Linked DNA regions of Notamacropus eugenii. The protein of the gene in region 1 interacts with the protein of each later gene in a biochemical or structural test. Links are inferred from orthologs where the notes say so. Each region holds a gene or a part of one and is shown on either strand. Other genes may lie near its edges.

Region 1 (10,651 bases):
CTGGTTCTAAATCTCTGACCTAAGGAGCTGGCTCGCACCCACCCCTCACTCCCTTTTAAATTTTATTTTGAGTTCAAAATTCTCTCCCTCCTTCCAGCCTTTCCTCTGCCCATTAAGAAGGCATGAATATGATACTCACTGTACACATAATATTATGCAAAAAAAAATTTTCCAATTACCCCTTATTTAAAAAAAAATGATAAAGAAGCTGAGGTGGCAATTTAGGGTATTGAGATTAAGTGCCTGGCTTAGTAGCCACAAAGGAAGAGATGTCATTAGTTAGTATCAGAGTCTGGAACTAGGCCCAAGTTCTGCTGAATAAATAAAGGTTGGAGTGGCCCTGGCATCCATATGACCAGCCTGTGGCCAGGAAGAAGCCACCCTGGCAGGCCCTTGGCTTCATCTCCTTTGCTTTCCTGGGTCTATCAGAAGTCAGCCCTGCTAGAAATGGTGATCCTCCAGGCTGTGCATGCCAGACAGAGTCAAGGAAAAGGGTACGGTAAAGATCCTGGCCACTGCTATTCCCAATCAAACACTCTGCCATACCTTTCTCAAAATCACCTTGCCAAGTCACTCAGGCAGGATTTGTGGGCAAGCCCAAACCAGTTCCCCTGGTATAAGTAAGTGAGGAACTCCCTCATTCAGCCCATCAGCTGATCCCTAGGTTCTTCCCAGGGCTTAAGAAGCTGTGGCAGTGCCCATTCCAAGGAGTACCTGTTTTCTCTGGGGTGAGATCTCCAGGGACAGCATGGGCCTGCAAGGCTGGCAGTCATCCCTACAGTGAAGGTGGGGGGAAGGAAGAAGGGAGTCCAAAGAAGCCAATTCTAGGCTATATCTAGCTCCCAGCTCCTCCTGGAACCCCATGAAGGCTGAGGGGGTACAATGTTGAAGGTTGGGGAGGGGTAGGGTCTCACCATCTTCTGCCGTATTGAGTTTGAGGCTTTTGCCTTTGAAGCTGAGCTGTCCTCCGCCCACCTGGGTTCTGGCCAGGCTTTCGGCGAGCTTGGCAATATCCTCAGATGCCATGGTCTCAGCTGCTTTGTTAAGCTTCCTCCCCAGGCTGCTGAGAAAGGCACCATCCCTCATCATCAAAGCCATTCCACTTGTTTGCTATTTCACAATCCCCATAATGCCTTGGTGAGATCTCCAGGGCCTCACTAAAGCCAGGGATCAACAGGAAGAATAAGGGTGTTTGCTTGCCTCAGGTCCCAGCTGAGAAACAGCAAAGTCAGGTTTGAAGCCCAGGCTGGAAGATCCCAAAGCCAGGGCTTTGGCCATATTGTCCCCAGGGCAGGGGCTGGAGGATGTTAAACATGAAAGACACAGCCTCTCCCTGAAGCAAGAAACATTTATTAAGCACCTACTACATTGAGTACAGTCCTGAGGGAAAACCCAAAGTACAGGCAAGAGCTGGTCCCTGCCAGCAAAATATGTGTCTGGCAAGAGGGGTGAGACACCAACTTGGTGGCTGGAATATATGTTCTCATGACACATTACAGACTTATGCCATGTAAGGTTGAAAAGGGGCGGTCGCAAGTGACTGGGTGCAGAGGGAGCATTTAGAGGGAAAAGTCTCTCGAATGGTCCCAGGGCTCCAAGGGACCTTGAGGGCCATTGGGTCCAAATCCCTTGTTTCGTGGGCAATGTAATGGAGGCCCCAGGGTAGTAATGAAATGAAGAAAGGAGGAGGGATCCAGATCTGGCCCCCATGTGCAGGCCAGTGGTCTGTCTGCTGGGGAAGGCTTCAGCAGCCCCTCTTCCAGATGTGAGCATCCAGCTCCTACTGAGATGTGCCTCAAACAGCAGGTTTTTACACAGGTTGAAACCCTGGGCAAAGGGGAGTTCTGTCTGGCCTGACCCAATGAAAGGGCAAGGCAGACAAGCTCTGCCCTTTGCTCCCAGGCCCTCAGTTCCTGCTGCCCCCTGACTCTACCAGCTGGGACAAAACGGACAGAACCATGGGATTTCCTTAATTTGGAGTTGTCAGCAGGGCTGCAGATCCAGGAGAACATAATGTAAACAGGACTAGTGACTGGCTGTCCTGGGTCAATCTCCTACTGCCCTCCCCCAAATGGGCAGAGTGATTAAAGCGATCCATCCAGGGAGAAACCCAGTGCCTGCACTGGCTTGTCTAGGGTGGTGGGAAGGGGTAGGTGGGAAGAAAGGGATTGTCACCTAAAGACTGAAGGTTCAAACTCAGAACCAGTTATCCTCATCAAGAGCTAAAGGCAGGAAGCAGGGGCTCCTAGGAGACAGCAGACTCTACATCACAATAGGCTGGCCTACTACTGCGGGACAAAGACCACCCCACCCCCTCCAAGGGCAGGGCAGCCCAGAAAGAACCCCCAAGTTGAGGGCATAAGCCTGTAGAAAGCCTTGATGGGGGGGGGGCACAGACTGGTGAAAGATAACTGTTGTCTTGGGGTACCACCCTCTCTAGGGGACACAAAATAGAAACCCGATGGGGGTTTTAAATGACACCTCTATCCTGAGGTGAGGGAAGGTCAGGTGGCGCAGGAGAGGTTTGAGTACCTGGGTGGAAATTAGGGCAACATTGGATTCTGAAGCAGAAAGCTTCAGATTACAGAAGTAATCAGTAACATTCACATGTCTGTGGGGAAAGAAAGCTAGATTTTAGAGAGAAAATTGGATGTGGGTTCAAATCCCAAGACCCAGCTATGGAACAGTGACCAGCAGGTTCCTGTCAGGGCCTGATTTCTGGTTGTGGGACATTTACTGTGGCCCCCCTTCCAGCTCCAAGTTCTGCCCAGTCCTAAGGGATGGGTTTCTACCTAAAGCCCTGTGGCACACCTTGAGGGCTCACCCTCAGAGAACCATCCACAGGCGCCTTCCTTCCCAGAGTACCAGGGCTCAGGGCAAGGTGAGGAGACGTCCCCCGCAGGGCGCCCCTTTCTCCCCTGCTGTGGGCGGCAGGAACCCTCGGAAGGCAGCTCCTTGGAGGCCTGAGCAGAGCCGGCCCCAGGCACTGTCCGAGGTGCTGGGGGGCCTGTCCACAGGGGCTTGCGTGTGGGTGGGCCGGGGCGGTGCGGGGCCCTGCGGGGAGGCCAGGTCCGGCTCGGACGGGCCCCTCGGGGTCTCCTCCCATATCAGGACCTCGGCCAGGCCTCCTAAGCGGGCCCCGGGGTTCTCCGGTACAAGGTGGGGGCTGTGGTCTGGGTCCCCCCTCCTCCACTGATCTCTACACCATGTGACCACCTGGGACGAGGGTCAGCGGGGCGGGGTCCTCCCTGGTCTCGGTCTCTTCCTTGAGCCTAGAGCTCTCCCCACCCCCTCCGAGGCTCCGGCCCCCGAACGGCCGGCCCCCCGACTGCGCGCTGGGCCTCAGCTTCCCCCGCTGTAAAAAGCGGAGCTGAGCCACGTGATGCTCCGAATCGCTACGCCGCTCCCCCTCCGGGCCTCAGTTTCCCCATCTGCAGCCCTCCTCCCTCCGCTTTCTGCCCGCAGGGGCCCCGCGGGAGTCGCCGGACTTACGTGCGCGCGGGCGGGAGAGCTACGGGCGCCTCGTGCAGCGGCGGCCTCGGACCTCGCGCTGGACGCCCTCCTGCGCACGCGCAAGGCTTCTCCGGGAAGAGGGAGGGGGAGAGGAGAAGGGGGGGTCCGCGCGCTGGGGGGAAGGGGGAGGGGATCAAACGCGGGAGCCGAGGGGCGTGCGGGCGACGGCGGCGGAGGCGGTGGCGTAACGCGGCGTCACGATAGGCCGGTGACCGACGGCCGCCCACCCTCCTCGCTCGCTCCCTCCCTCCCGCTCCTCGGGCGCGCGCACCAAGCCTCCCCCGCACAAACGCACACTCACACGCGTCTCGCCCCGGTCTCCGCAAACAGCCCCTGCGCCTCGGGGCCGCCGATCGATGATGGCGGCGAGGGAGAATTTTTGAAAGCCGGCAGTTTCTTTCCTGCGATCTGATTTGCTCAGGCTCTCTCCGCCGGGCGTTTTTTCCTCCAACTTGTCGGGGGAGCCGGGAAGTGTAGTTCCGTCCCTTCGGCTCGCCCTAGGAGCCGCACCGCTTTCTGACTACACTACCCATAGAGCCGTGCGCGCCACAAACCGGCTTTCCTCCCTTCCCATTCCCGCGAGATCATCGACCCGAATCGGACTGGCTCGTGGGCTGGGCGAGGAGACTACCATTCCCGAGATGCGCCTCGCCGCTTTCGGTCCTGGCAACGGCAGACTGTCAACAACTTTATTTAAAATTGGACGGACAAAACCCCAGCACCGGGGCTCCCTCTAGTGCCTTCAATTCCTTAAAGCAGGGATGGGGGCTTTGGCTCTGTTCTGGGTCGTCCTCTGGGAGGGGGCTGCCCCCAGCCTGGGAGGAGGGGCCACGTGGAGAGCGCAGCTGCTCCGGGCGTGGTCAGAAGGAGCTGGCCCACCCCCAGGGGAAGATGATGCCCCTGATCGCTAATAGTAAAGAGATGCCCACGAAAACCACCCCGAGCTTCCATCTTGAGGCAGTCAGACTGGCAAAGGTGGCAAGACAAAATGGCGATTGTTGGGGAGGCTCGCTAATACATTGTTGGTGGAGCTGGGGTCAGGCTAGCAGTTTGGAATCCTGTTTTCCCCCTCCCCCCAAGTCACTGAACCGTTGTACGGACCCATTGACCCATCAGTTCAGAACCAAGACCAGACCTAGACCAAGGGGACCAAAGACCAGAAGGAAGGGACTGAAATCTACAAAACTATTGCAACAACTGTAGAAAAAAGATAGGGGACGACTGAACAACTGGTGGCATAGTGATGTGATGGAGGTTACTGTTAAAAGAAATAAGGACTGTGGCAGAGGAGGAGTTCGAGAAGACTCTTGTGAACTGAGACCCGGAGAAACGAACAGAACCAGGTGAACAACTTACACAATGATAGTGAAAAGAGGGGGAAAAGCCTTTGAAAGACTTCAGAACTGGGATGGCATTGATTCGGACTTAGAGGGCTGGCGGTGATGGACATGGGATGGACACCGCCTGTGTACGGCCAACTGGGGACAAGGGGTTGATTTGTTTTCCTTACTTGTTATAAGGGGGAGGGAGCTTCTTTTTGGTGGCAGGTGAGTTATTGGGTGGTGATAGAGCACTGATAAAACACTAACGAAGTGTAGAGGAAAGTGAGAAAGGAGAAACAAAACTGGCAATTTTGTTGCTACTTTGTTACGTTTGATGGTTACCTGCGTCTTGTCAAAGATTCTGGAGCGGTTTGCCATTTCCTTCTCCAATGTATCTGCATTTTACAGATGCGAAACGGAGGCAAAGAGGAGTTAAGTAACTTGGGGAGGATCGCATGGTCGGTAAGTGTCTGAAGCTGGATTTGGACGCGGATGTTCCAGACTCCAGACCCAGTGTTCTATCCACTGCACCACCTAGCTACATTTGATAACATACTTAAAAAAACCAAAACACCCCAACAAATTACATGTAACTGAAGTTCATTTTCATAGACTACACTATTGTTAGTGTTCATTGATTATTTTCATAATTTTCAAAAAAGACGTTTATCTTAATACATGTTAAGCCTGCTACGTTTCAGAGACTGCAACAAACACTGGAAATTTCAGTGGCAACAGCAAAGAAAGACAAAAATATAGTACCTGCTGTCAAGGAGGTGGAGTGGTACAAACTCTGGTGATACCAAATAGATAGAAAAGGCCTTGATGGGTTTGTCAAAAATTGGGTTGTTACAACATTGTGCTCTGGTCAACTGTAATAGACTTAGATCTTCTCAGCAGTATAATGATCCAAGACAATTCCAAAGGCTCATGATGGAAAATGCTGTCCACAGTCAGAGAAAGGACTGTGGAGTCTGAATGCAGATTGAAGCAGATTATTTTCTCTTTTTTTTCTTTCTCATGTTTTTTCCCTTATGTTCTGGTTCTTCTTTCACAATGTGGAAATGTGTTTAATATAATTGTACACGTATAACCTACATCAGATTTCTTGCCATATTGGGGAGGGGGAAGGGAAGGAAAGAAGGGAGAAAAAATGTGGAACTCAAAATCTTACAAAAATGAATGTTGCGAAAGAAAGAAAGAAAGAAAGAAAAGAAAGAAAGAAAATAAAAGCAAGCCAGGGCTGTTGAATGGGGTCCAACTGGTCAGGAACATGGCCAGTCCAGCAAATGCTTTACAGAGAAATTTCACTCACATGTGTTTCTTTTCCATGGAGATGGAAGAGTGGAGAGAATATCCTAAATGAGGGGTTTGCTTTTGAAAATTACCATCAGACACAAGAAGACTTTCTTCAGTAACAAGATAAATTGGGGTGGTTTATTTAGTTGAGTATTTAGGGGCATTCCAAAATGAGGGAACGTGCTTTCTGGAACAGGGTAGTCACCTGAACTGATTGAAATGAGTCCTTGACAAAGCTGTTTAGCCACTGTCACATTCTCTGACTGTTTCCAGGCTCCTAGATCTTCAGCCAGAAGAGACTTTGGAGGCCATCAAGGCTGGCCCCCCTCATAGACCCAGGGAGGTAGTAGTAGCTTACCCAAAGTCACCGAATCTTAGATCTGAAGCCTGTCATTTACACTGCCTAGATCTTGGACAGAGATTTTTTTTGTACTGTGATGTCTAGCATTTGCAGTTTGTATGTTGTTGGAGATGTAAGCTCTTTGAGGGCAGGAAATGCTTTTGCTGTGCCCTCAACACTGGGCACAGTACCTGGTACATAGAAGTGATTTATTAATGCTTGTTGATCAGTTGATGGAGTATGACTCCCTTCCCCTCAATTTTACAGGAAATACAAGGAGAGGAATCACATGACTTATCAAGCTTACATTGATAGTAACAGAAGTGAGATTCAAACTCAGGTCCTTTGATTTCAGAGTCACAATTCTTTCCACTGTTTCAGATGTCTCCCATATTCTGCTCTTGACCAGAAACAATTTCATTGTATAGAATACTTAACAAAGCAACAACAAAGCTCCAAAATGGGCTTAGAACCAGGCGGAAAGCAAAGAGAAGTCCCCAGGCTAAATGATGAGGTCAGCACTTCTTCTTTCCCTTTACCTCTAGGGTCTGCATTTCCTGGTCTTCAAGTGGGTAGTAACATTCTGGGCCCCTTGGGGAAGGATCCATCTATTTCTACACAGTCATGGGACCCACCAGTGGGCAGGGTAGCTGTATCTTCAGCAATTATCCAAATTCTTTAGAACAAACAGAGCCTCTCACTTCCCAGGACCACAGACTCTGGGAGCTGCAAGAGGCTTCCCAGGCCATTAGACCAAGCTGTGCCTGAAGAAGAATCTCTTCTATGACATTGGAACATGAGGTGGTTCTCTGTCTTTGCTTGAAGACTCCCAGTGAGGGGGAAGCAGAGATGTGCTGTTAAAATGTTTAACAACTGGCTCTCCAGAAGAAGAAAAAAAGCCTAACAAACCTGAGATACACTTTTAAGTTTAATTTGCATTATTAACATTTTATCCATCTTTTTATTAAGTCTAGACAATCAACAAAAACAATCAAATCCTGATTTGTGTTGTTGCTTAGTTGTTTCTGACTTATGACCCCAGCTGGGGTTTTCTTGGTAAAGATACTAGAGTGGTTTGTCATTTCCTTCTCCAGCTCATTTTACAGATGAGGAAACTGAGGCAAACAGGGTGAAGTGACTTTCCCAGGGTCACACAGCTATTAAGTGTCTGAGGCCAGATTTGAACTCTGGCCCTCATATCTCCCTTGAATCTTCTCCAGGGTGAGCATCCCCAGTTCCTTCAACTAATCCCCTTACAGCATGAGTCTGAGGCCCTTCCCCATCCTGGTGGATGACCTCTGGAGCCTTCCCATCTTCTCAGAATCCATGATACTCAGAATTGAACACGTATAGCTTGGTGGGCTGGGAGGTGGGGACCTGCATTCCAGAATTGTCTCTGGCACATCGCCTATGTGACCTTAGACAAGGTCTAAGAAACTGGACCTCAGTTGTAAAATGAGGAGTGCCTGACTGGTTTCTACAGTCCTCTCCATCTCTAAATGTAATATTTCATTTCATCCTCACAGAGCCTTTATGAGGTAGACAGGAAAGGAATTAGCCACCCTGTCAACCAACTAATAATAAGACCAGAACCCAAACCTGAGCTCAGTTGTCCTGACTCCAGCCTGCAGCCATTTCCATGACACATATGTTTCTCTTGGTGTCTGTCATTCTGTTACTATCTAGTGTTGTGACATTGAATATTTTCCTACCTGGACCTGTTTCCTCATCTGTAAAAAGAAAGAATCCAACTCCAGTTTCCCAGATGCAGTAATTTATAAGGGCCATAGATGATGAGACACCCTAGCTAGTGAATTCAAGAGGCATAGTGATTGTGGCATCATTGTCAAAAAACACTTAATAAGTGTTACTGTGTTCAAGGTGCTGTGCTAAGCGCTGGATGGGGTTCTCTACTTGGAGAAAGGAAAGCGCTGGTTCAAATCCTGCTCCAGATACTTATTAGCTATATGACCTTGAACAAGTCACTACACATCTGCCTCAATTTTCTTGTCTGTTAAAAACAAAATGAAAGGATTGTTCTAGATGGCTGCTGAGGTTCCTGCGAGCTCTAATGAGTTTAGTTAATGTTTGAATTTCTATTTCTCTAATCAATAATAATTTAAAACTTTTTAAAACTGCAACTATAAATTGTGTTGCTTTCTTTATCGGAGAACTGCCTGTTCATATCCTCTGTCCATTTATCAGCTGAGGAATGATTCATACTCATAGATTTGACAAAGTTCTTTACATGTTTGAGACATGAGACCTTTATCTGAAAAGCTGTCTATAATTTTTTCCCTTCAACTTTCTGCTTTCCTCAGTTCTTGGCTACATTTGGTTTTATTTGTAGAAAACCTTTTAAATTTAAGTTAATTGAAATTATCCATTTCACACCTCATTCTCTTCATAAATTGTTCGCTTATCCATAAGTCTGATAAGTAAAATGTTCCATGTTTTTCAAATTTTCTTGTAATATCTCTCTTTATATCTGGGTCATGCATCCATTTTGATCTTATCTTGGTAAATGGGGCAAGATATTGGTCTATGCCCAATTTCTACCAGACTGCTTTTCCCAACAATTTTTATCAAATAATGAATTCTTGTCCCCAAAACTCAAGCCTTTATGCTTATCACATACATATTCATTTGCTGCTGTGATTGTACGTCTACTCTGGTCCACTGATCTACCTTTCTATTTCTTGGTCAGAACTAAATCGTTTTGATAATTACTACCTTCATAATGACTTTGATAAGTATAATCTCAGATTGCCCATCTGAAAATGAGGGCATTGGACCGGGATGAGCTCTAAGGTGCCTCCCAGTTCTAAATAATGCCAGATTTAGGTTCAGTATAAGGAAACACTTCCTAACAATTGGAACTGTCCAAAAGTAGAATGGGCCCCTTCGACAGAGGGTGGGTTTCTTCTCCCTGGGAGAAGTCTTAAGCAAAGTCTGGATGAGTGCATTTAAGGAAGTTGTCCAGGGGCTCTTGGTTTAGGTCCCGAATGGATTCATGGCCTCTGGGATCTCCTCCGACTCTTAGTCTGACCTCATTTGAGTCTCCTAAGACTCTTAGGAGTGAAGGTCCAGAAAGACTTTTTACCCCATTTTGCAGAGAAGGAGGCTAGAATTGGAGAAGGGAGATGACCTTTCAGTATCTGATTAGATAGCTAGTAAGTCTTGAAGGTCAAAGAGATCGTTAACCTAGGTCTTCCCGTGTTCTTCACTCAATTCTATCACTTACAAAACTCTTGAAAGATGCCCCAGCTCCCAATTAAGCTCTTGGAACTTTGGCTGGGAAAGATCATTTGTTGAGTATGCCAAGAGCTGTGCCCTTCTGTCAGCCACTGTATGTGCCAGACTCTGTGGCTAAGAGCTATGCCAGGGAGACACTCTGGTTTTCACTGCCTTAACTCAGGTATTTGGATCAGAAAAGTTTACCTAGTATATTCTTTGGGATAAATGGAAATGCCACTGTTAATATGACTGGAGCTTTTAAAGTGAGCAGGGAGAAAATAGGAGAGACCCTTCTTCTCGGGTTTTAAAAATAACAGTGACTCAAAAATTTCAAATTTATCTCCATTCTACCACTCAACAAAAATGAAGCTGAATGGGACTGTCTGCCTGAGCTGAACAAATTGAGTTTTGTCCCTTGCTCTGATGATGGGGATTTCTAAATCATCTGCATTGCTTGGCCTGAGTCACAGAGGGGAGTTCACCAAGACCAGCCCTTGGAGGGCCCATGGGCAAAACCAGCCAGCAAATTCTTTCAGCATTTAAAGGCAAAACATGCAGAACTAGAAAAGGAGCCAACTCCCTCTTTTTTCTGAATGAAGAACTTGTGAGTTAAAATGCCAAAGGAAGTCTTTTAAAGGAGATTTATTAGCTGAAGAATCGCTTGGGAAGGCCTCATCTCTTAGGGCTCTTTGAATTGCTTTCAGCAGAAACCATTCCAGCAAAAGAAAAATCAAAGGAAAAATTGCCTGGCTTCTGGCCCTAAAACCTTCAGTGACACAGTTAGCTCCAAGAACATCAGGCAGTCACACTGATTAGCTTCTATTGCCTTAATTTTTTAGGATTATACATAATTCATGGAGTACTTATGTAACTATTTTAAGTATAATATTTAATATGGATTTGTTTTTTTCTTAGCAAAGAGAAATACATAAATTTAAAT
Region 2 (10,736 bases), on another chromosome or scaffold:
TTCTATACAAATTATATTCAGCAGGTCTGTGAGCAAGCTCACTGTTCACAGTACATTCAGTGTTGAACAAAGTGTAGCTGCCATCTTCCTTTGAATTTGGTTCCAAAGATGAAGCAACACTGCTGCTTTCCAAGATCTTCCTCTTTGGATGCTTACGGGGAGGTTGATAATTTTCCAAATCAACAGAAACTATAATGTTATCTAGTGACTTATAGCCCAATGGATAGATGCACTAAGAGGAAAAAGAGAATCAAAAAAGGTAAAAATGCAAAGCAAACAGTTACAAAGCTTAATTATCTTAACTATAGTCTTATTCAGGAATACAGAGAAGGAAAAGCACATCCTTTCCTGCTTTAAATAGCTAACATAAAGATAATGCAAAAAACAATCAACAGTTTTAATTTTTCTTTTTAAAAAGCCTCACAGAATAGTGTGGTACTCTTGGGGAACAGGAGAGGGGACTAAAAAAGTAAACAAATCTGAAGACCAAGAGTACTCCAAGAGAAAAAGCAATTTCTTCAGTGTGAGTACTCTCATAGATGAAGAGTTCATTCTCCTTCTCAGGGATTCTTATCTGTGCTTTTCCCTTTAAGGATTATGCCAGAGGTCTTCATCTTGCTCTCTTATTATCTAAGGGGTACTAACTATACTTAAGCTGTCTATTTGTTTCTGATTCTTGACATATACCCAGACCACCTCCCTTTCTGGTTATACACATCCTTGCTAATGTCTTTTATACAATTTCTGGAGCACAAATTAACTCTGATTACATGCTATGGCTGATCCATACCCACATCAACTATTTTCCCATTGCCTTCAAAGATATTCTACTTATTTTCTATCTTGATACAGTGAACAATTTTTCTATAGTGCATTAACACAATTTTAATAAAACATGAATTTCAAATAATTCCTCAGCAAAGACTTGCCAGGTCTTAAAATGTATGGTATACATGTGACAAAAAATTAACATGATTCAGAATAAAATTAAAATAGAATGAAAAACTGAAAAGTATTTGTTTGCAAAAATGCAAAGATTTATTTTTCTCTTCTATAGGTTCATTATTTTAGGAGTTCTTTTTCATCCAGTTTATCAGCACAGTTTCTAGAATGTAAGCATATAAACATTACTTATCACTTCATAGAAAACATGTTTTTTTCCCCCTACACTAGAGAACTAGAAACAATTATCCATGACTTCGTGAACTACACAGGTATAAATTACTATGATATACTTTCATGGATATTCCTGAAGGCCATTCAAAAACTTTTACTATCAAAATCACTTATAAAAGTTACTTCATTTGTACCTTTGTATCCCCAGTAAGTAATACAACATATGGGACACAGTAGGACTTAATAATGTTAACAGTCAGTTAACAGAAAAGTTCAAATAAGGTAGGTTACCTATTGCTTCCAAATACATGAGTTCTACTTAGCAAAATTCTAAAAATTAATTCATTACCTGTGGATCTTCACACAAAGAGATAGATTCTTGAAAACTGATTCGATAAGACTTTAAAGTTTTGATCTTTCCGTTCTCTCTACAGGCTGGACAGTACCCATCTGGTGTAACTTTAGCTGAATCACACTTCTGAGAAAGAAATAAAACAATGTAACATGTATGTATTCCTACTTAGTATCAAAAAAAGAAGTAGAAATACATTAGAAAATCTTTTCCATTCTCATACTAGCAGTTACACTAGCAATAATTTTTTAACATGGCAAACAAAAGAAATGAATATAAGGATTTAACATTTAAATTGTCGGTGAAAAAATAACATCATTGTAGTTTTAAAAGGTTTTTGTATTAAACTGCATCATTTTTATTTGCAAAGAAAAAGTGATATCAACAATGAACAGATTCCATGATTTTTAAGGTAAACCATAAGTTTTATGAAGTTAAAATAAACACGTTCTTATGTCAATGAAACAAAGGTAAATATATGGAAATAATCTTTCGCCATTGCTGTAAGATTTCCGTGGGAAGTATAATTTATATAAAAAAATGTTATTTGGTAAAAATAAAAACCAAATTAGTTAATGGATCAAAAACAGAAGAAAAAAACAACTTTGCACAGAGTGGAAAACAAGCTCACTGACTTTTCCCAAATACCCCACCATGTGGAGTGAAGATATCCCTATACCAGTGTCTTGTCCAATCACTGGCAAACCATTTCCAATCTTCTGGGAATCCATCATTCCGAGTCATTGGCTAATTTATGTAACTTGTCAATATGTCCTTAGTCAATATCACTAAGGATCTTTCAATGAACCCTGGAAAAAAAAAAGTCAACAGGCAGTTAAGTCAAAATCCAATCCATTTGATTTTAGAAAAAGTTCATGCTAAGTATATGTTGAAAATTAAGTGATATCTTGTGATAAAATGTCTGTGAAATTATTACCTAAATCACAATTTGAAAAAAAAAAGTATTAAAATTGACACATATCTTTTACATTCACTAGTCACATTAGTTAAACAAATTTTTTTTTCTGGTGGATCTGGAACAAGTTCTTCTCCCCTTCCTCTCAGGATCATTTCCAACAGTATACATCTTAAATACTATTTAACCTTTAAAAGAGCTTTATCATTTAGCAAAAAAGGCAAGCTATATTAAATGGAGTTTGAGGATAGGCACTGTTTAATTCTAGTAACAAAATGAAATGAGTATGCTAGAACTATGCTGGGAATATGTTTTAAAACGATTCTGTAACTGTTTTCAATTTTTGGATGGGGAGGAATGTATAGAGTTCTTGTTCCCACTTTATTTGTCGTTAAGATTTGCTCCAGTTTAATAGCACTGTTTTTCTGGGACAAGAATGAAATATTTAGTTTTTTGTTGTTGTTGCTAAGTAACCTACGTAAATTATATGACAAACAAATACATATAATACAGATTTTATGCAGGCAGCCAGGAGGGAACCCTAAGGAGTATCCTTAGCAGTTCCCAAACTCTGAATAGCACTGTTCCAGTAGTATCTTCAAAATCCCCTGAGTAGAAAAGATTTCAAAATATAAGTGTCAAAATAATTCAACGTCAAAGTGAATTTCAACTCCTATCTTCGACATCGTGGACACTTAAGGAAATTACTTTGGCCTAAATGCAAGTCTAAATGACACCTTCTCCCTCCACTCATCTCAATATTAAGCAAGCCAAATCAGTTCCATATATTTTCTTGCTTTGTTTCAATATAGATAATTCATACCCTAAACTTAGGGAGAAAAAGTAAATTTTTGGAAGGTACCTAAACTGACTTACAATTCACAAAGGAGACCTATTCTTAAGGAAAATCGTCCTCTGCCTACCCTGAAAAAAAAGCCTTCTTATATGTTAAAGTCAACATATCAGCTAAATCTAAGCAAGTGATCCTTTATTTTTCTTGAAGATTCCTTTATATAATTAAGTTAAACTAACAATAGGCTGAATTACTAAAAGCCAGTGGTGATTACGTTCTATAATGGAGAACCTGCGCATCCCAGAACAATCAGGGCTAATACTTAAGATTTTTTTAAAGACCTGGGCAGCCAATCACGTCGGGTGGTTTTTATCCGGGTCTAAGCCTAGGCTGAATGAATGACTGCATCACTTAATGCAAACTGACCCAATCACCAAACCAAAGACTGGTGACCTTATATGTTCTTAAGCAGGGATGGGCCAAGCCGGGCCTCGAGCTCAGTCCCCCCCAACCCCCAGGGCAGCCTGACAGAACCCGGCTCGAGTCCACTGCCCCTCATTCCCGCAGGTGACACGCAGTCCCACAGACCAGCTCTACGGGCACCGGGGACCATTCTGCTGCCGCTACCAGATCTGGATGGAGGCGCCACAGAACCGAAGGGAATCCAGGGAAGACCCCCAAGCCCATGAACACGCCCCACCTCCCCCGGCCGACGTGCGGTTCAAGGGGAACCCAGGTGGGGGAGGGGTTGGTGGCATCACCCACCTCAGGAAGGGACACAACTCTGGTTTCTCTTCAGGATTTACCTCTGGTATACGAAACCTACCCCAGCGCCCCACCTGAACCTCCCTCGGCCCCTCCTCGCCCCAGCCTCCAGCCGGTGGCGCGCAACACCGTAAGCTCGGGCCCCCTCCCCCTTTCCCGGTTTCCCTCCCCACTCATTCGGACAGGGACAGACAGAGCCCTCCAGTCCCCTCACCTGATGCTCGTGCCCGCCGTGCGCGCCCCGGGACCATTCCCACGCCGGCTCCGGCTCCGGCTCAGCCTCCAGCTCGAGCGTCGCGCGGCCTGAGGAAACGTTCAACTCACGTTTTTCCCCCTGGGCCGCTCCTCCTCCAGGAGGACAGCTTCTTCCTGCTCGTGTCCCTACAAATGCTTCCCCCTCAGCCCCGCCACGCTCACGAAATCTCGTTCCGGTCCCAGCCAGCCCAGCCGCAGCGGGGGCGGGGCAGAAGCGCGGAGCTATCACTAGAGCACTTCCGGCGGGGCTGCGCCTGGGGGCGGGGCCGGTGGTGGAAGAGTCCGACGCCCAGTGTGGGCGTCTCAGCTAGGAGAGAGTCACGTCGTCGGAATCCGCTGGAAATAACGCTAAAGCGGCCGAGGAGGAGGGCGGCGCGGAGGGTGATTAGAGCCGCTGCGCTGCCCGCGGCGGAGGGATTATGTAGTCCTTAGAAAGAGGCCGACTCCAGCCCTCCGCTGGAGGGCCTCGAGTTTTGTTGGGGTTTTTTCCTGGCGACCCTTGACCTCCCCACGAGAGCGCGATGGAGCTGGGTCTCCAGGGAGCTCGGGCCTGTTGTGGGTGTACTGCTGACACAGTGGGCCTCATTCGGGCGCACGTTGAGGCGTGCCATTGCCGGAGACCTCGACGTCCCAGAGACCCTGACCTTCCCCACCCCCACGCTCCTGGCCGTCCTCCCGTCCCCTCCCTCCTTCCCGGCGGGCTTTGCGGCGGCTCCCGGTAAGCCCAGAACCCTGGTGTCCCTGCCCCGAGCCTGGGGAGGACTGGATCTGCGAGGGCGCGTTCGCCGCCCTGCATTGGGCAGAACCTAGCGGGTACTGTTCGTGTCCAGACGCTCTCCCACAGAAGGGCACTGGGCCCGGGTGGATCCCGACGGCCCCCCGGCCTTTTGGAAACCGCCTTTCCCGTCCCGAGGGCGGCCGCATCCACTGGTCCTCCCCGCAGGACCGGCCTCGTGCCTTCCGTGGGAGAACAAGTTGGCGGTTCTGCCCATTCGCGTCCTTCTAGAGGTGGTTTTAACTGAGTTTAGAAACCATCCCGATCGTCGTTCGGGGCTTGGTTGGTTTTTTGTTTTTTCCAAAATCAACTTTTGTTAGCTCTCCTTGAACTGAAAGGTCAGATGGATCATTTTCACGTGAATTCTTAGCTGTGTTTGTGTGGTGGACCCCTGGGGGAAGCCTGTTGGTCCCTTTTCGGAATGATGTTCTTAAAGGCACAAAAATACGTAGGATTACAAAGGAAACCAATTGTATTGATTCTTCGTCCTCCTCAAGTGGAGGGCTTTCCCTCTTTTTCATTTCCAATTTATCCTATTCATATAGTTTATACATAATATAGGTGTGCTTTTTCCTCTATTAGACCAAGTTATTTCAGAACAAGGGACTTATCACATTACCTTTCTACATGATAGACTGTTAGGAAATATGCATTGACTGAATCAAAATATTTTAAAAGCAAGTTAAGAATTCCTAATTTTAAAGGGAAAAGGTTGCCCCCCACTTTGTCTATTACGTTAAAAAAAACGGAGGACTTAGGTTTCTGTTAAATTATTAATAAAATGTTTTTAAACTAATTTCACGTTAAACTATTCCTTTTATTAAAAAAATCCCTGATATTTACTAAAAATTTTCTTAACATCAATGAACAAAAAACCATTAAGTAGTTAATTCTCGCTCTCGCGCTGAAAAGTTGGGTTTAGTTTTTGTTTACCCACTTTAGAAGTAGATAGTCATTAATTCATTTTCATTTAAGACTCAGTACAAGTTCTCTAGGTAAGAGAAAATTGGTTAGGTTGCATTATCATTCCAGTAGATCTGTGACTTAATGTTTCTGTTATATGTTTTAATTCACTTTTATTTTCAGTTCTGAATTCTCTCCCCCCACCTAAAAGCAAGGAAAACAAAACATTATGAATATGTATAGTGAAAACAAATTTCCATATTAGCATTGTCATATGTGTGGGTATGTATATATTTATATATATATATATATATATGTATATATATATATATATATATATATATATATATATATATATATATATATACACACACACGCACGTATATACATATGCCTTAGTTTGCACTCTGAGTCCATCTTTCCATCTGAAGGTGCATAGTATGTTTCATCCTGTACTGAAGTTAGTCATTGTTATTCATTTTCTAAGCCTCTCAAAATTGTTTCTTTACAACATTGTTATTGTATAAATTGTTCTCCTGGTTCTGCACAGGTCACTGTGCATCACTTCATACAAGTAAGTCTTCCCAGATTTCTCTGAAACCATCCCCTTCATCATGTCTTACAGCATAATAGTGTTCTATCACATACGTATACCATTTCTTCTTGATGAGGAACCTGTCAGTTTCTAATTCTTTGCCACCTTGAAAAGAGCTACTATAAATATTTTTGTATATATAGGTCCTTTTCTTCCTTTGATTTCTTTGGGATATAGATTTATAAGTTATTTTTTTTTACTAAAAATTTTCTTAATATTAATGAACAAGAAACTTTCAGGGAGTTATTTCCCTAGCCCCCAAAGTAAAAGTGATTTGCTTTTGTTTCTCTACATTAGTGGAAGATTCATTCACTAATTTATTGACTCATTTTCAGTTAAGAATCAGTATAAATTCTCCAGGTAGAAGAAAATTGGTTAGACCATATTGAATCATCATTATTCCAGTGGATCTGGGATTTCATAGTATATATTTTCCTTCCAGAGACACAGATTGCAATCTGTACATGCCTGCCTATCTTGTTTTACACTCCTCCAAATCCATGTCCTCCTATGAAGGGAAAGAGATGCCTATCCAAAATGCTGGGAGCCTTCCTGATCTCTCTTCACACTGGGTTTTTATCAGTCCTTTTTCCTGTTTAAATAACTATCTACCTCTATTTATTTAGAGGATCCTTATTCATTACTGATATTACTATCCTTAAACTGGAACACAATATATTTGTCATAATAAACGTGCACTGAGTGCTGATTTAACAGCCTGAAAAAAATAGAACTAAATCTTGCCTTCCTAATTGGTTTACTAATTAAGTTACATTATAGTTCTTTAAAACTAGAAAAAACTGTGCAGACTGAATTGTAGCAAAATATCCAACTTTTTTGTGGTCTTTTAAAGTGTTGGATTTAGAGTTAAAAAACTGGGTTCTGATCCCAGCTTTGCTATTTGTTACCTGTGTGACCTTGGCAAGTCATTTAACTTCTCACAGACTCAGTGAGAGGGCTCTTCCAACTCTAAAGCTGTTCTGCTTTGATTCTATTTCATTGGCATAGCCAATTCCTGTTGGTAAAATTCCTTTCCTTGATATAAATTAAGATGAACCAAAAGGAATTAAGAACTGAGTACTGAGAAGTTAAGCGACTTGTCCATAGTTCGGACTTGTGGTTAGGACTTGAACTCAGATCTTCATCATTCAAAAACCAACACTTTATCGCTTACTACACATCCAATATTTATATTTGCAGAGTAATTTACAGTTTTTGCTTTTTCCATCATAGTTACCCTATAGCAAATTTGTTCTATTATCTCTAATTTACAAATAAAAACATGGAAATGTAAAGATATGACAAGCTTGATACATGTGGGAAGGGAAGGGGGAGGGAACAAGAGCAAATACAAATGCTTCAAACCCTGTTTTAGTAGGTTTCATTTTTCTTCCTTTATCAGGAGCTGGAAGTGTTAAGTTGATAGATTCCTTTCCAATCAATAACATTTTAAAATATCATTGATATATTTTAGCCACACTTCCATACCTCTACTTCATATCCCTGACTTGAACCTTCAGGACTCAGTTCAGGTGTTGCCTTCTACAAAAACCCTTCCACTCTGAGATTAACTTTCTTTTTACCTTGTGGGGTGTGTGTGTGTATATTTATTTATATTTATATGCTGTTACTTCCATTGTATGCAAACTTCTACAACGTGGAAGCTTTTGGGGTTTTTGCCTTTATATCACCAGTGCTTAGCCCAAGGCCTGGCACATAGTATTAGGCCTAATAAATAATCTGTTAATTGATAAGTCTATTGTGGCTCATTTGCAATCACTCATTTATAATATTATATGGAAATAAGGGCAGTTAAGTGACACAATGGATAGAGCACCAATCCTGGAGTCAGGAAGACCTGAATTCAAATCCAACATCAGATCCTTACTAGCTGTGTGACCCTGGGCAAGTCACTGAATTCTGCCTCAGTTTCCTCATCAGTGAAAAGAGCTAGAGAAGAAAATGGCAAATCACTCCAGTATTTTTGCCAAGAAAACCCCAAATGGGGTCGTGGAGAGTCACACACAACTGAAAAGTGACTGAATAACAACAAAAGGAAATGAGACAACATTAGAATGAGTGGTTAGAGTTCTGTCATGGGAGTCAGGAAGAACTGGGTTCATGTCCTGCCTCTGACATATACTGACTGTAAAACCCTGCACAAGTTAATTTTTTGGTGCCCCAAGGTAATTTCTAAGATTATAAATTAAAGAGGAGGCATTAACTTGCTGTAAGAAGAGTCTTCTTTCTGTATTTCCCTGTAACAAAAAAAAAATCATAGGTTTCTTCCCACCCTTCCCAAGGAACTGATAACCCTGCAAGTGTTTTCTCTCAACGTCATATTTTCTTGAAGTCATCTATCACCTTAGACTAGGTTAGGTAAGCCTCTACTGGAGAAGGGAAAAGGTAGAAATTATTGTCTGCCAACTGACATTTCCATTCACATTCTTAGGATCTTTTCTGTGGAATCATTGATGGCATGGATGATGAACTAGATCTATTTTGAAGGAAATAGCACACCTTTGGATTTAAGTGTCTACCTGGAACTGGTAGAGATAGCCCAATACCCAGTGCACAAGAGCACCCTGAATTGCAATGCACCACCACCATTAGCCTTGCTTCTTCTATATCATCTGATAATTCTTTTTAGCATGGGCCCAGATGGAAGGACAACAAAATGATGTTTTTATTAAATAGAAACTAAAGGAGGAACCCATTGAAACACAAATAGAAGTCTTGTTTTCACTTACTGCCTACTTCATTTTTCTTGTCTATTAAACATTTGTTCAGTATCTATTATGTACAAGGTATGGTGCTAAGCACAGGGATATAAATAAGAAGCTCTCTACTCTGGGAGCTTCTAATGGGAAGACTATAAGCTGTAAGTGAATTTAAAAGAATTAAGTGCTTACTAGGTTCAAAGTTCTGTGGTAAGAGCAGAAGGAGCTTATTTTCTAATGAGGAAGATAATAGACATAGGAGATGATAATGTATCTTCTTTAATGCCACTCCCATTGATAACACTATATCTGTTTCTGATATGGGACCTTTTGCCAGTGCCAAGTGACTTTTTTGCCTTAGGACCCTTGTCTATAGCACTGGCAGGGGCCTTTGTAAATTTCATCTCCCCAAGGGTTGCTGCCCTTGGACTGTGACTTTGGGTACCACCTAGAAGCAGGAGGTCGAGGTCACTGCTGTTCATGGGGCTTTTGGGATGGAGGGCATGAAGGGATGTAGTGGCCGCAGTGCTTTGACGCATCTGGCACATGCTATCCTATTTCTCCCTCAGATTTATTTCTTCAGCTAAAAAGTAAATACATGTTAAATATAAAAATAAGTGCAAATAAAAACAAACTATTAAGATGCAATTTAGTTTGAGGAAGAGGGCACTAGCAGTAGGAGAGCTCAGGAAAGGTCTTATGTTGGTGAGGTTTTATGTGGTGGTGAGGATTGTGCTTTATAAAGCTCAGGCTTGAAGACAATAATTCTTAGAGGCAGATAGGAAGAAATAGTAGATACCTAAGGGAAGTGCTCAGAGATTACATCTTTAAACTATTCCCTTAGATTGCCTTTAGTCCAAATTTAGAGCCCAGTTGTTTGACTCTAATCTCTGTAATTCATGCCCTAATCTTTTCTAACCCCAGCTAAATTGAGTTGTCTTAAGATACTCATGTCATCCTATACTGTGTGTTGTTGTGTTGACCATGACATCAGGATGATGACATGACTTGCAGTTGACTTTGATCCTCTCTAACCAAGTACTTTTCAAGAAATATATCATTTGAGCTAACAAAATCATTTATAGTATCCATACCACATTTGATTAAACTTGATTGGCCAAGCACTTTTAATATTTCTGATATGCCATAGTACCAGAGTTCACCAGGAGAGGCTGCTGTATTAGAAACAATCTCTTCACTCTGAATGTTTTGTTGTCTTAGACCTTGAATATATCCTGAGTCACTTTCTAGGTCAGGGTGACCCACTTTCCATCTGGTTCTGGTATCCATCAAAAGTTGCTTTGGTAGGGTCAGTCAAGTTTTTAGAGCACTAACTCAATTATTCAATGATCAACAAAGTACCTCAGTTTTTCAATGATTTATTGTTTCATTTATAGTATATGTGTCCCAAATAACTGTCACAGTACTTGGCACATATGGGTGCTTAATAAATACCTTTTGACTGATTACAAGGATGCATTAGAATCAGCACTTAAATCTGATTTGAATTTTAAACATACCTAATAATATGAAAGTTGAATTGCAC
Region 3 (10,551 bases), on another chromosome or scaffold:
GCCCCATCCGAGGAGCTGGCAGCCCTCAGGGAGAGGCGGTTTTAATCAAGTTTCAGAGATCTCCCGGACCCCACCACGCACCCGCGGGCCCTCTCCCGCTTCTGCATCTCCTACTGAGGGGCCAACCCGTGCAGACCCGCCAGGGCCGGGCCCTCCCCCGCTGTTCTTTCGGACTCCCGGCCCAGGGGAGGCCTGGCCGCTGGACGAGGGGCACGGAGGCCGGGCCGGGCGGGCCTCGCCGCGGCGGCCGAGGAGGGGAGCGGGCGGGCGCGGGAGCCGGAGCCGGAGCAGGAAGGGGGAGCCCGCGGGCCGCCGCCGCCGCCTTCTCCCGGCCCCCAAGATAAACACTGACGTGGGAACGGGAGGCGCGAGAGGGAAAGGTCAGAGCGGGGGGAGGGGTGACAGCGGCCGCTCTCCCTCCTCCCCTCCCCTCCCGCCTCTCCCCGTTTCCCAGGCGGCCCTCGCGCGCCGTCCCCAGCTCCCTCCTTCCCTCCCCCGCCCACCCTCGTGGGCTGGCGCGCGCCACCCCGCCCAGGCGGCGCGCGGGCGGCCGGCGGCTCAACGAAGCGCCCTGGGGGAGAGGAGGCGGCGGCGGGGCGGGGGTGCGAGCGAGGGGCCGGAGTCCCGGCTCCCGGCCCGCCGGGCTTCCAGAAGCTGCCTCTGGCTGCGCGGGCCAGCTCGTCGCTTACCTCTCGAGGGGAGGGGGCGGAGCCCTGCACCGAGGCGATGTACCGCTCCACCTCGGCCTTGCTGCGCCTCATCGCGCCTCTCACGCAGTCCGGGGGCTCTCCGGGAGTCCGGCTCGGGGAGCCCGGCAGCGTCGGCCCTACGTCTCCGGGCTCGTTGCGCCTAAAACTCAGTGACGCCGCCACCGTCGCCGGGGCCTAAACGGCGGGCTGACGTCATCTGCGTGTTACGTCAGTGCTGCGCGCCGCGGCGTTGACGGAGGCGATTCCGCCAGGGAATCCCGCCCCGAGGGACTGACTGCTGGACAGGGGACAGCGCGCGGAGGCGGGCTCTGCGTGGGCGCAGCTCGGAGGCCGTCCTTGGACCTGGACGGGTTTGCGTTCTGCCCCTTCCGCCGCCTCCCTGGACTCTGCCCAGCCCCAGCCGGGCCTCGGACGGGGCGGGAGCTCCCTTACCGCGGGCCCAACACGATCGGGGGATGGGAAAGTGCCTTAGAAGAAATAGTGCACGATGACCCCACTTTGTGTAATCGGGGTTACATGGCCGCTTTCTGGAGGATGCAGGAGGCAGGGGGGAATTTGGAACTCCAAAATGTCTAATTGAATGTTAAAAAATATATCATTGAGAAATAGCTCTAACTTTTTTTAATTTTAAAAACAGCGGTAAGGCGGGGTGTGGCTTATATGAAGAGGCCAGGTCTCGTGGGTTCTACCGGGTTCGAACTGGAGGGCACGCAGAACCAGAGAAGGCTGTGTGGACCGCTAGACTGGACCGAAGCCCTCCTCCGGCCTGCCAGGCCAGCTCCAAAGACTCGTGGTGGCCGGTGCTGCCCGGTGCTGCCCACACCCGGAGAAGGAGCTGTGCAGTCGGGCCAGATCGGAGCACACCCTTTCCTCCCTTTGCTGTTTGTTTTCTCCCCTTTGTTCCGATTTTTCTTTCACAACATGACTAATGTGGAAATGTTTAATACGATTGTACGGGTGTAGCCTCTGTCAGACTGCATGCCGTCTTGAGGAAGGGGGGAGACTTCACAACTCAAAATCTTATAAAAGTGAATGTAGAAAACTAAAAGTCATTGTTTAAAAAATTTAACTGTTTCTTTAAAATAGCACTTAAGGGAGTTTTATAGAGCTTTGTAAATAACCCATTTCATCCTCAAAATAACCCTGGGAGATGGGTGTAGCTCTTAAACCCCTTTACAGAGAAGAACCTTGAGGCCCCTCCAGGATCGCACAGCCACAAATTCCTGGGGCAGGGACTTGTTGGAGGGACAATTCACCCAAAGGAATCCGGTTTTATGTGTAGAAAAGCAGTCCTGTGAGTCCGTCCCAGGGATGGTGAGCTGGGGAGGCACTCTGTAGGGTTAAATAGGAGCAAGGGTCCTATTCGTTGTGGCTTACCCTACAAGGAGGTCAGCACAGTGCCCAGCATCTAAAGGACTGGGGGGAAGGGGAAGAAAAAACGAAGGGCCTACAATGTACCAGGCAGTGCGCTTAGCACTTTACTATGCTAAAGACATTTTCACAGTCATATTGCACGGAAGAATTAAAACGAATGGGAGAAACCATGAGAAAAATGAAACCAGAACATAACACATGAGAAAACAGTCTTTCATTCCGCATCCCGATTCCATAGTTCTTTCTCTGAATGTGGATGGTACTGATGCTCACAATAACCCTGGGCCATAGACACTATTATCATTTCCACTTTACAATTGAGGAAATTGGGGGAGACAGAAGTTAAGTGATTTGCTCAGTCATAAAGCTATTAAATGTCTAAGTTTGGATTTGAACCCAAGAACCCAGTGCTCTATGTGTGACACATCGTGTGACACCTTGCTGTAGGCAATGTCTTGCTGACTATACAAATAACTTTTCTACTAATCTAAATTTTTTACCATTGGAGTAATTAATGTAGTTTATAACCCTCCTCTGCTAACCCTAAGTCCCTTTCTCTCCAGAAGATCATAATTGAAATGGACATACTGAGGAAGCCCTTTACCATTAGAATAGATGAGTTTGTTATTATTAGACACCTTGGATCTGGAGAGGACAGAGGAATTTTACTAGTGGGAAAACAAGGCTTGGACAAGTTCAGGACATGGGAGAGAGAGGGAGATTTACTTCAGCACCTGGTTTAGGTCCTCATATTCCAGCAGTTATCGTTACACTAGTAATTTTGCTGACATAGTGAAAAAGACTAGTGAATAAACAGCCATTTCAGAATCTTTGTAAGCCCATTTTTGGGTTTTCTTGACAGATACTGAAGAGATTTGATTTTGTTCAGGTAGTTTTTCGGTCATGTCTGACCCAGCCTGGGTTGATATCCTGCCTCTGATACATCTTGGCTGTGTGACTCTTGAGCAAGTCACTTAAACTCAGTACTCTAGGCCAGAGACGTCAAACACAGCCCACAGGTCCAAACCAGATTAAAATACATTTGGGAATTATTTTTGAAAATAAATGTAAATGCAATAAAACAAAGATAATATTGTATTTTGAAGAACTAAGTTAATTTTCAACCCATGAGGATCCTTCTGCATGGATTAATGATGCCTTTCCATTTAGAATTTAACACCACTGCTCTAAGCAGTTCTCTGAAACAAGGGGTCTTTTTAAAAAAAAAAAATCAATCTATTTGTTTTTAGTTTTCAACAATCACTTCCATAAGTTTTAAATTTTCTGCCCCTTACTCCCCCCTCCCTCCTTGAGATGGCATGCAATCTTATATGAGTTCTACACGTACATTCTTATTAAACACATTTTCACATTAGTTATGTTGCACAGAAGAATTAAAATGAATGGGAGAAACTATGAGAAAAATCAAACCAAAACATAACACATGAGAAAACAGTCTGTTTCATTCTGCATTCCAATTCCATAGTTCTTCACTGGATGTGAATGGTATTTTGCATCAAGAGTCTTTGGGAGGTGGGGGCCACAGCCAAGATGTCAGAGTAGAAGGATGGACCTGCTCTAGCTCTCCCCCCATAGCCCAAAAAATACCTGTTAAAAAAATGACTAAACAAATTCGAGGTGGTTGCTCAGAGATCAGAGCACAGGCCAGGAGAGGAGTAAACTCCTGTCCCTTAATTGTGCCACCTTGGAGAAACTGAGAACTTACTGGTCCCTAGAGATATCTCAGAGAACAGCTACACAAAACCTCTGAAGCCTAGGGTAGTATACTCTCCACTTGGCAAAGGACTCAAAAATCAAGTAACTGGCTGGGGAAACGCCCAAAAAGGGGGTAAAAAATAAGACTATATTACTTTATTATTATTATTATTTACTATATTATTATTATTATTTACTATATTACTTTATTGGTGAAAAGGTATTTTCTTCCATCTTTTTGGATGAGGAAGAACAAAGCATATCATCAGAGGAAGACAGCAAGGTCAAGGCTTCTACATCCAAAACTTCCAAAAAAAAATATGCAATGGGCTCAGACAATGGAAGAGCTCAAAAAGGATTTTGAAAATCAAGTAAGAGAGGTGGAAGAAAAATTGGAAAGAGAAATGGGAGCAATGCAAGAAAATCATGAAAAGTGAGTCAACAGCTTGGTAAGGAGATCCCAAAAAATGCTGAAGAAAAATGGACTAACCCAAATGACAAAAGAGGTCCAAAAAGTCAAGGAGGAGAAGAATGCTTCCTAGAAAAGGAGGTCCAAAAGCTCACTGAAGAAAATAATTCTTTAAAAATTAGAATGGAACAGATGGAAGCTAATGTCTTTATGACAAACCAAGAAATTCTAAAACAAAACCAAAAGAATGAAAGAAATAGAAGACAATGTGAAATATCTTATTGGAAAAACAACTGACCTGGAAAATAGATCCAGGAAAGAGAGTTTAGAAATTGTTGGTCTACCTGAAAACCATGATAAAAAAAAAGAGCCTAGACATCATATTCCAAGAAATTATCAAGGAAAACTGCCCTGATATTGTAGAATCAGAGGGTAAAATAGAAATGGAAAGAATTCACCTGTTACCTCCTGAAAGAGATCCCAAAAGAAAAGCTCCTAGGAATATTGTAGCCAAATTCCAGAGTTATCAGGTTAAGGAGAAAATATTACAAGCAGCCAGAAAGAAACAATTCAAGTATTGTGGAAATATAATCAGGATAACACAGGATTTACTCCTACATGAAAAGATGTTATTTTTAACTCACGGGACCTTTTTCATTAATAGGAAGGGAGAATACCCAAAAAATAAAAATTTACTGTTGAGTGGAATGTATTAGGAGTAAGAGAAAGGTAGAATGTAGCAAATCATCTCACATAAAAGCCGTAAGACAATGGAGGGGAAGAGGAGGGAGGTGAATTAAATGAGCCTCTTGTGGAATTTAGCTTAAGGAGGGAATAACACAATTGGATATGGAAATCTATTTTACCCTGCGGGAAGGGAGAAGGGAAGGGGATAGGAGAGAGGACAGCATTTGGAGGAAAGGGATAATCAGAAGCAAACACTGTTGTGGGAGGACAGGTCAAGGGAGAGAATGGAATAAATGCAGGGCAGGAGAGGACAGAGGGAAATATGGTTAGTCTTTCACAACATAACTATTATGGAAGTGTTTTGCATTGTTACACATGTATGACCTATATTGAGTTGCTTGTTTTCTCAATGAGGGTGGGTTGGGAGGGAGGAAGGGGGAGAACATGGAACTCAAAGCTTTAACAATGAATGTTAAAAATTGTTTTAGCATGCAACTGGAAAATAGATATACAGGCAATGGGGTATAGAAATCTATTTTACCCTACAGGAAAATAGAGGGGAGGGGGATGGAAGAAGGGGGTGGTTATAGAAGGGAGGACAGACTGGAGGAAGGGGTGGATGGGGTGCATGTTGTCCTGGGGTGGGGAGAGATGGAGAGAAAATTTTGAATTCAAATTCTTGTGGAAGTGAATGTTGAGAACTGAAAAATAAAAGATATTAAGAGGAAAAAAAAGAGTCCTTTGGGAATGTTTTAGGTCCTTGCATTGCTATGAAGGGCTAAGTGTATCAGAAGTAGTCTTTGCACACTGTGGCTGTTATTGTGTATCATGTTCTCCTGGTTCTGTTCATTTCACTCAGCATCAATTCATATAAATCCAGGTTTTTCTGAAGTCTGACTGTTTGTCATTTCTTATAGCACAATATTATTCCATTACATTCATATACCACAACTTGTTCAGCCCTTCCCCAGTTGAAGGGCATTCCCTCAATTTCTAGTTCTTGACCACCACAGAAAGAGTTGCTATAAATATTTTTGTACATGTGGGACCTTTTATCATTTTTATGATCTCTTTGGGATACAGCTTTAGAAGCAATATTGCTGGGTCAAAGGGTATGCACATTTTTATAACCCTTTGGACATAGTTCCAAACTGCTCTCCAGAATGACTGGATCAGCTCACAGCTCCACCAGCAATGAATTAGTGTTCCAACTCTCCCACATCTTCTCCAACATTTATCATCTTCTTGTTTTCTCTTGTTAGCCAATCAGATAGGTATGGTGTGGTACCTCAGAATTGTTTTGATTTACATCTCTCTAATCAATAGTGATTTAGAGCATTTTTTCATATGACTATAGATAGCTTTAATTTCTTCCTCTGAAAACTGCCTGTTCATATCCTTTGACCATTTATCAATTGGGGAATGACTTGTTTTCTTGTAAATTTGACTCAGTTCTCTTATATTTTAGAAATGAGGTCTTTATCACAAACATGAAACAAGGGGTATTAATGTGAGGGGTTTTTTATATTTTTAAATGAAAAAACAACTATTTTAATATAATTGATTTCCTACATATTGTACTTTATGTATTTAAAAACATGATTCTGAGAAGGGGTCCACAGACCTCATCAGACTACTCAAAGGATTCCATGATTCAAAAAAAAGGTTAAGAATAGTTCGTATAGAGGAAAAAGAGAAAAGATACAGCCTTAGGCCTAGTAGTTAGTGGGCATTGTGCGAATGAAGATCCAGCAAAGGAGAATAAGAAGAAGAGTCAAACAGGTAGAAGAACCAGGAGAAAATAAAGAAAACCTGGAGAGAAGAGATCATCGAGGGTGTCAAAGAATGATGCTATAAATTGGTTTCATTTAATCGCTTTTTCCATTTTATGAGAGGGTTCCTGGGGATTTTGGGGTGGGTAACGACGGGGAGATGTTAGAGAATACTGGAAAATGACAGTTTTATACAAACAAAGATATCAATATAATGTTAAAATGTAAAAATAAACTAGAGATGACTAGTAACATTGTAATGTAGAAACCCTGCAAAATTTCCCAATAAAATCAGAAGTGAAAAAAAAGATTATTATTATTATTTGACATAGTTCTAGAAGTACTAGCTAGCTAAAGCAATAAGGCTAATTAAGGGAATAAGCACCTGAAAAAAAGGAAAAATTGGCAATTTACTCACAAAATAGTAAAGAATTAAAAACTAGACAGTTCAGCAAAGTAACAAGATATGAAATATCAATAAGACTCTCGTATTAAGGTCCTACTATATGCCCAGCACTATACTAAGTCATAGGGATACAAAAAGAAGCAAAAGACAGTCCCTGCCCTCAAGGAGCTCACAATCTAATGGGGGAGACCACAAGCAAACAAATATGTATAAACAAGCTATATAGATGATAAATAGAAAATAATTAGGAAAGGCACTAGAATTAATAGGAGTTGGGGAAGAATTCCTGTAGAAGAGGGGACCTTAGCTGGGGACTTCAAGGAAAGTGGGAGAACAGTAGTCAGACTGAAGGAGGAACAGCATTCCAGGCAGGGTGGACAGCCAGAGAAAATGCCCAGAGACAGGAGATGGATTGTCCTGTTCATGGATTTTAAGGAAGAAAATAGGTACGAATTTACTATGAGGGAAGCTGTGAAATGCGCCAATTCTTTTAAAAGGCAATTTGGAATGATCAAGATATCACAAAGTTTTTCATACTCTTTTGTCTAATGATCTCATTGTTGGTTTTGTACCCCAAAGAAGCTTTGATATAAAAAATGACCCATCTACACAAAAGAATCTTCATAGCAGCACTATTTCTAACAGCGAAAAGCTCAGAGCAAACTGTGTACATGTGAGAGAACAGCTGAACAAATGAAAAGACACCATAATGCCTCAGAAAGATGGAAATAAGGACTGGATGACAAGCACTATGCTAAGCACTGGGGATACATGTGGATAAGCCAAATAACCCCTCACTCTCAAGGAGTTCATAATCTAATTAGAGGAGAAAAGAGGGGAAATTAAGTCTCAGGAGTTAAGAGGACAAAGGGGCAGAGCAGACAGTAAAGTTTGATAGACCTTAGCAGTTCCAAAGCAGAAGGTCACTCATTAATGACCATTGGGAAGCAGATAGTGAGTGGGATGTGGGCTCTGAATAATCTCAGGGAAGGTTGGTGTTGAGGGTAGGGAAAAGGGGAGGAGGAAACGTCTAAGTCTGAGGGAATATCCATTAGGAACTGAGCAAGGGAGCAGAGGAAAGGAAGGGTTCCCTGAATCTTGTTCCATTTTTTCTCCAAAGAAAAAAGTCCCGCTTGCCCATTTGATGCTGTTTCGTTTCCAGGCAACAAGTTGAAAAACCAGCAAGAGTGGCTGCTGTGGGGGGCTGGAGCCCTTCCCATCCACTGCCCACAAGCCAATGAATGGACACTTGAAAATAATAGCTAGTTATTAGCTATTATGTATAAATATTTTAATTAAATACCATATGAAATAGATATAATAAATTATTTGTGCACTGTAATATGTATCTTAATATATTACATGCACAATTATGATATTGTGAATGTTGTGTGAGATGTAATTATATAAAATAGATAATTATAGATAGAAATGTATACTGTATTAATTACATATAAGATAGAATTATATTCATATATTAATTACATCATATAAACCATATTATTATATAGTTAATACATTGATGTATTAATAACTAACAATTAACTACAGATAATAATAACAGTAGTTAACATTTATATAGTGCCTACTATGTGCTAGGCACTGTGTTAAATGTTCTACAGATTATCTCCTTAGATCCTCATAACCACCCTGACAGGTAGGGGCTTTTATTGTCTCCACTGTACTTGAGAAAATTGAGGCAAACGGGTTAAGTGACTTGTTTGTGGTCACTCAGCCATTAAGTTATATCTGAGGCCAAATTTGAACTCAGATCTTCCTGACTTCGGGTTCCTGGGTCACCCCAGGATGACCCAACAAGAGCAAGAGTAAAATATAAATAGGAAGAATTCGAAGAAATGTGGACAAACTTGTGCCTGGTGATAGAGTGAGGAAAGCAGACACAAAATAACAATATACTCAGCAATTACAACTACATAAAATAGGCCAGGGAAATGGAAACAAAACTCAGATGAAATAAAATGGATACTGTTGCTACTTATTTGTTAAAGTTAGAGGTCACACCCTTCCCTTCAAGTACAGAAATGTAGAAGTATCTAGGTTGTTCAGGGATGACTAACACCTGAGACGTGAGGTGGCCACCTGTGTCTCCAAGAAGCTGTCGGATGCAGAGTAGCCACAGCCTGTACTATCTTGGCAGATGGGCTAACCCAGGTTGAGGTAATAGACAGGTCTCAAACTCATCAGTGAGTTACGGAGATGTCTACCCCAAGCACGTGAAGACTTGCCCTGGCAGAAATGGCAGATCAGAACAATTTGTTTCAATGGCTGGATTTGGATTCAGGAAGAGGAGTCTTTCACAACTCCAGGCCTGGCACTCTATCCATTGAGCCACCTAGCTATTCTTATTTCATCCTTCCTACCTACAAACATGTCCAATCTCCCTAGAGTTAGAACCTACCATCTTCTCAAGCAATAGTCCTATCTTCTCCCTTTTTGGGCCAAACTCCCAGAAAAAATTCTGTCCATTGTCTTAATTTCCTTTCATTCACTTCTGAATCCTTTGCATCCTGGCATTTGACAACATTCAATTAAAATTGCTTTCTTTTCTCATTGACACATTTGGTTGCCTTTTCTCAGTTCTCATCCTTTTTGATTTTGTAGCTTTTGGTACTGTTGTCTACCCTCTACCCTTGAATGCTCTCTCCTTTCCAAGTGTTTTCTCATGGTTCTCCATCTGACTGTTCCTTCTCTAATCCATTTACTGGATTATCATCCATATCATACCCCTAATGGTTGGGTGCACAGACCTCCAATTCTATCTTTTCTTTCTCTGCAAACTCTCCCTTAGTGACCTCATTAGCAACAACAAGTTTAATTATATCTTTGAAGATGACTCAGATTTCTACATTTAGTCCTAATCTTAAAATAACCGGGAGGTATAGTGGATAAAGCACAGGATCTAGAGTTAGGAAGAGCTGAATTCAAATCTTGCCTTGAACAGTTTCTAGTTACGTAACCCTGGGCAAGTCATTTAATCTCTAACCTCTGTCTTGGTTCTATCATCTGTAAAATGAGGATAATAATAACATCTCCCTCCCAATGATGTTGTGCAGATAAGATGATATTTTAAGTGCTTTATAAACCTTAAAGCCATATATACAATATATATGCTAGTCATTATTATCATTATGTTAGACTTTCTCCTAAACTACCATTTTGCCTCAACTACCGCCCGTTGGACATTTTGACTAGAAGCCCCATAGACATCTCAAACTTATCATGTCCAAAACAGAACTCATTATATCAAACCCATTCCCTTCCAAACTTCCCTTTTTCTGTCTGAGGCAATACCGTCCTCTCTGTTGATATGCAAACTCCAGTCATCTCAACTCTCACTATCCCCTCACACAGGACACTAGTCTTCTGTAACCATGTCTTTGTACTGTCTGTCCCCCATGCTTGGAAAACTTTCTCTCCTTATCCCTTCATCTTAGAATCCAAGGATTCCTTAGATAT

The links.
Region 2: of the proteins of RANGAP1 (region 1) and USPL1, one has a biochemical effect on the other in vitro, tested with the Homo sapiens proteins (2 studies listed by BioGRID). The link is inferred for Notamacropus eugenii from reciprocal best matches to the Homo sapiens genes RANGAP1 and USPL1.
Region 3: the proteins of RANGAP1 (region 1) and E3 SUMO-protein ligase RanBP2-like form a complex in vitro, tested with the Homo sapiens proteins (5 studies listed by BioGRID and IntAct, with this or other methods). The link is inferred for Notamacropus eugenii from reciprocal best matches to the Homo sapiens genes RANGAP1 and RANBP2.

The regions. Positions count from the first base shown.
Region 1 is NC_092874.1:300,352,891-300,363,541, forward strand, and holds the start of RANGAP1 (ran GTPase-activating protein 1), read right to left. Parts: upstream 3,928-10,651; 5' UTR 3,815-3,927; intron 3,626-3,814; exon of another isoform or gene 3,493-3,625; intron 2,612-3,492; exon of another isoform or gene 2,533-2,611; intron 1,334-2,532; exon of another isoform or gene 1,201-1,333; intron 1,064-1,200; exon of another isoform or gene 1,061-1,063; 5' UTR 1,027-1,060; coding exon 915-1,026; intron 1-914. Other genes in the region: uncharacterized protein, read left to right, coding at 5,291-5,297. UniProt on the Homo sapiens protein: GTPase activator for RAN. Converts cytoplasmic GTP-bound RAN to GDP-bound RAN, which is essential for RAN-mediated nuclear import and export. Mediates dissociation of cargo from nuclear export complexes containing XPO1, RAN and RANBP2 after nuclear export.
Region 2 is NC_092876.1:199,236,548-199,247,283, reverse strand, and holds the start of USPL1 (SUMO-specific isopeptidase USPL1), read right to left. Parts: upstream 4,394-10,736; 5' UTR 4,157-4,393; intron 4,011-4,156; exon of another isoform or gene 2,278-4,010; 5' UTR 2,203-2,277; coding exon 2,104-2,202; intron 1,595-2,103; coding exon 1,466-1,594; intron 233-1,465; coding exon 1-232. UniProt on the Homo sapiens protein: SUMO-specific isopeptidase involved in protein desumoylation. Specifically binds SUMO proteins with a higher affinity for SUMO2 and SUMO3 which it cleaves more efficiently. Also able to process full-length SUMO proteins to their mature forms.
Region 3 is NC_092877.1:204,447,555-204,458,105, reverse strand, and holds the start of E3 SUMO-protein ligase RanBP2-like, read right to left. Parts: upstream 4,571-10,551; 5' UTR 762-4,570; coding exon 690-761; intron 52-689; exon of another isoform or gene 1-51. UniProt on the Homo sapiens protein: E3 SUMO-protein ligase which facilitates SUMO1 and SUMO2 conjugation by UBE2I. Involved in transport factor (Ran-GTP, karyopherin)-mediated protein import via the F-G repeat-containing domain which acts as a docking site for substrates.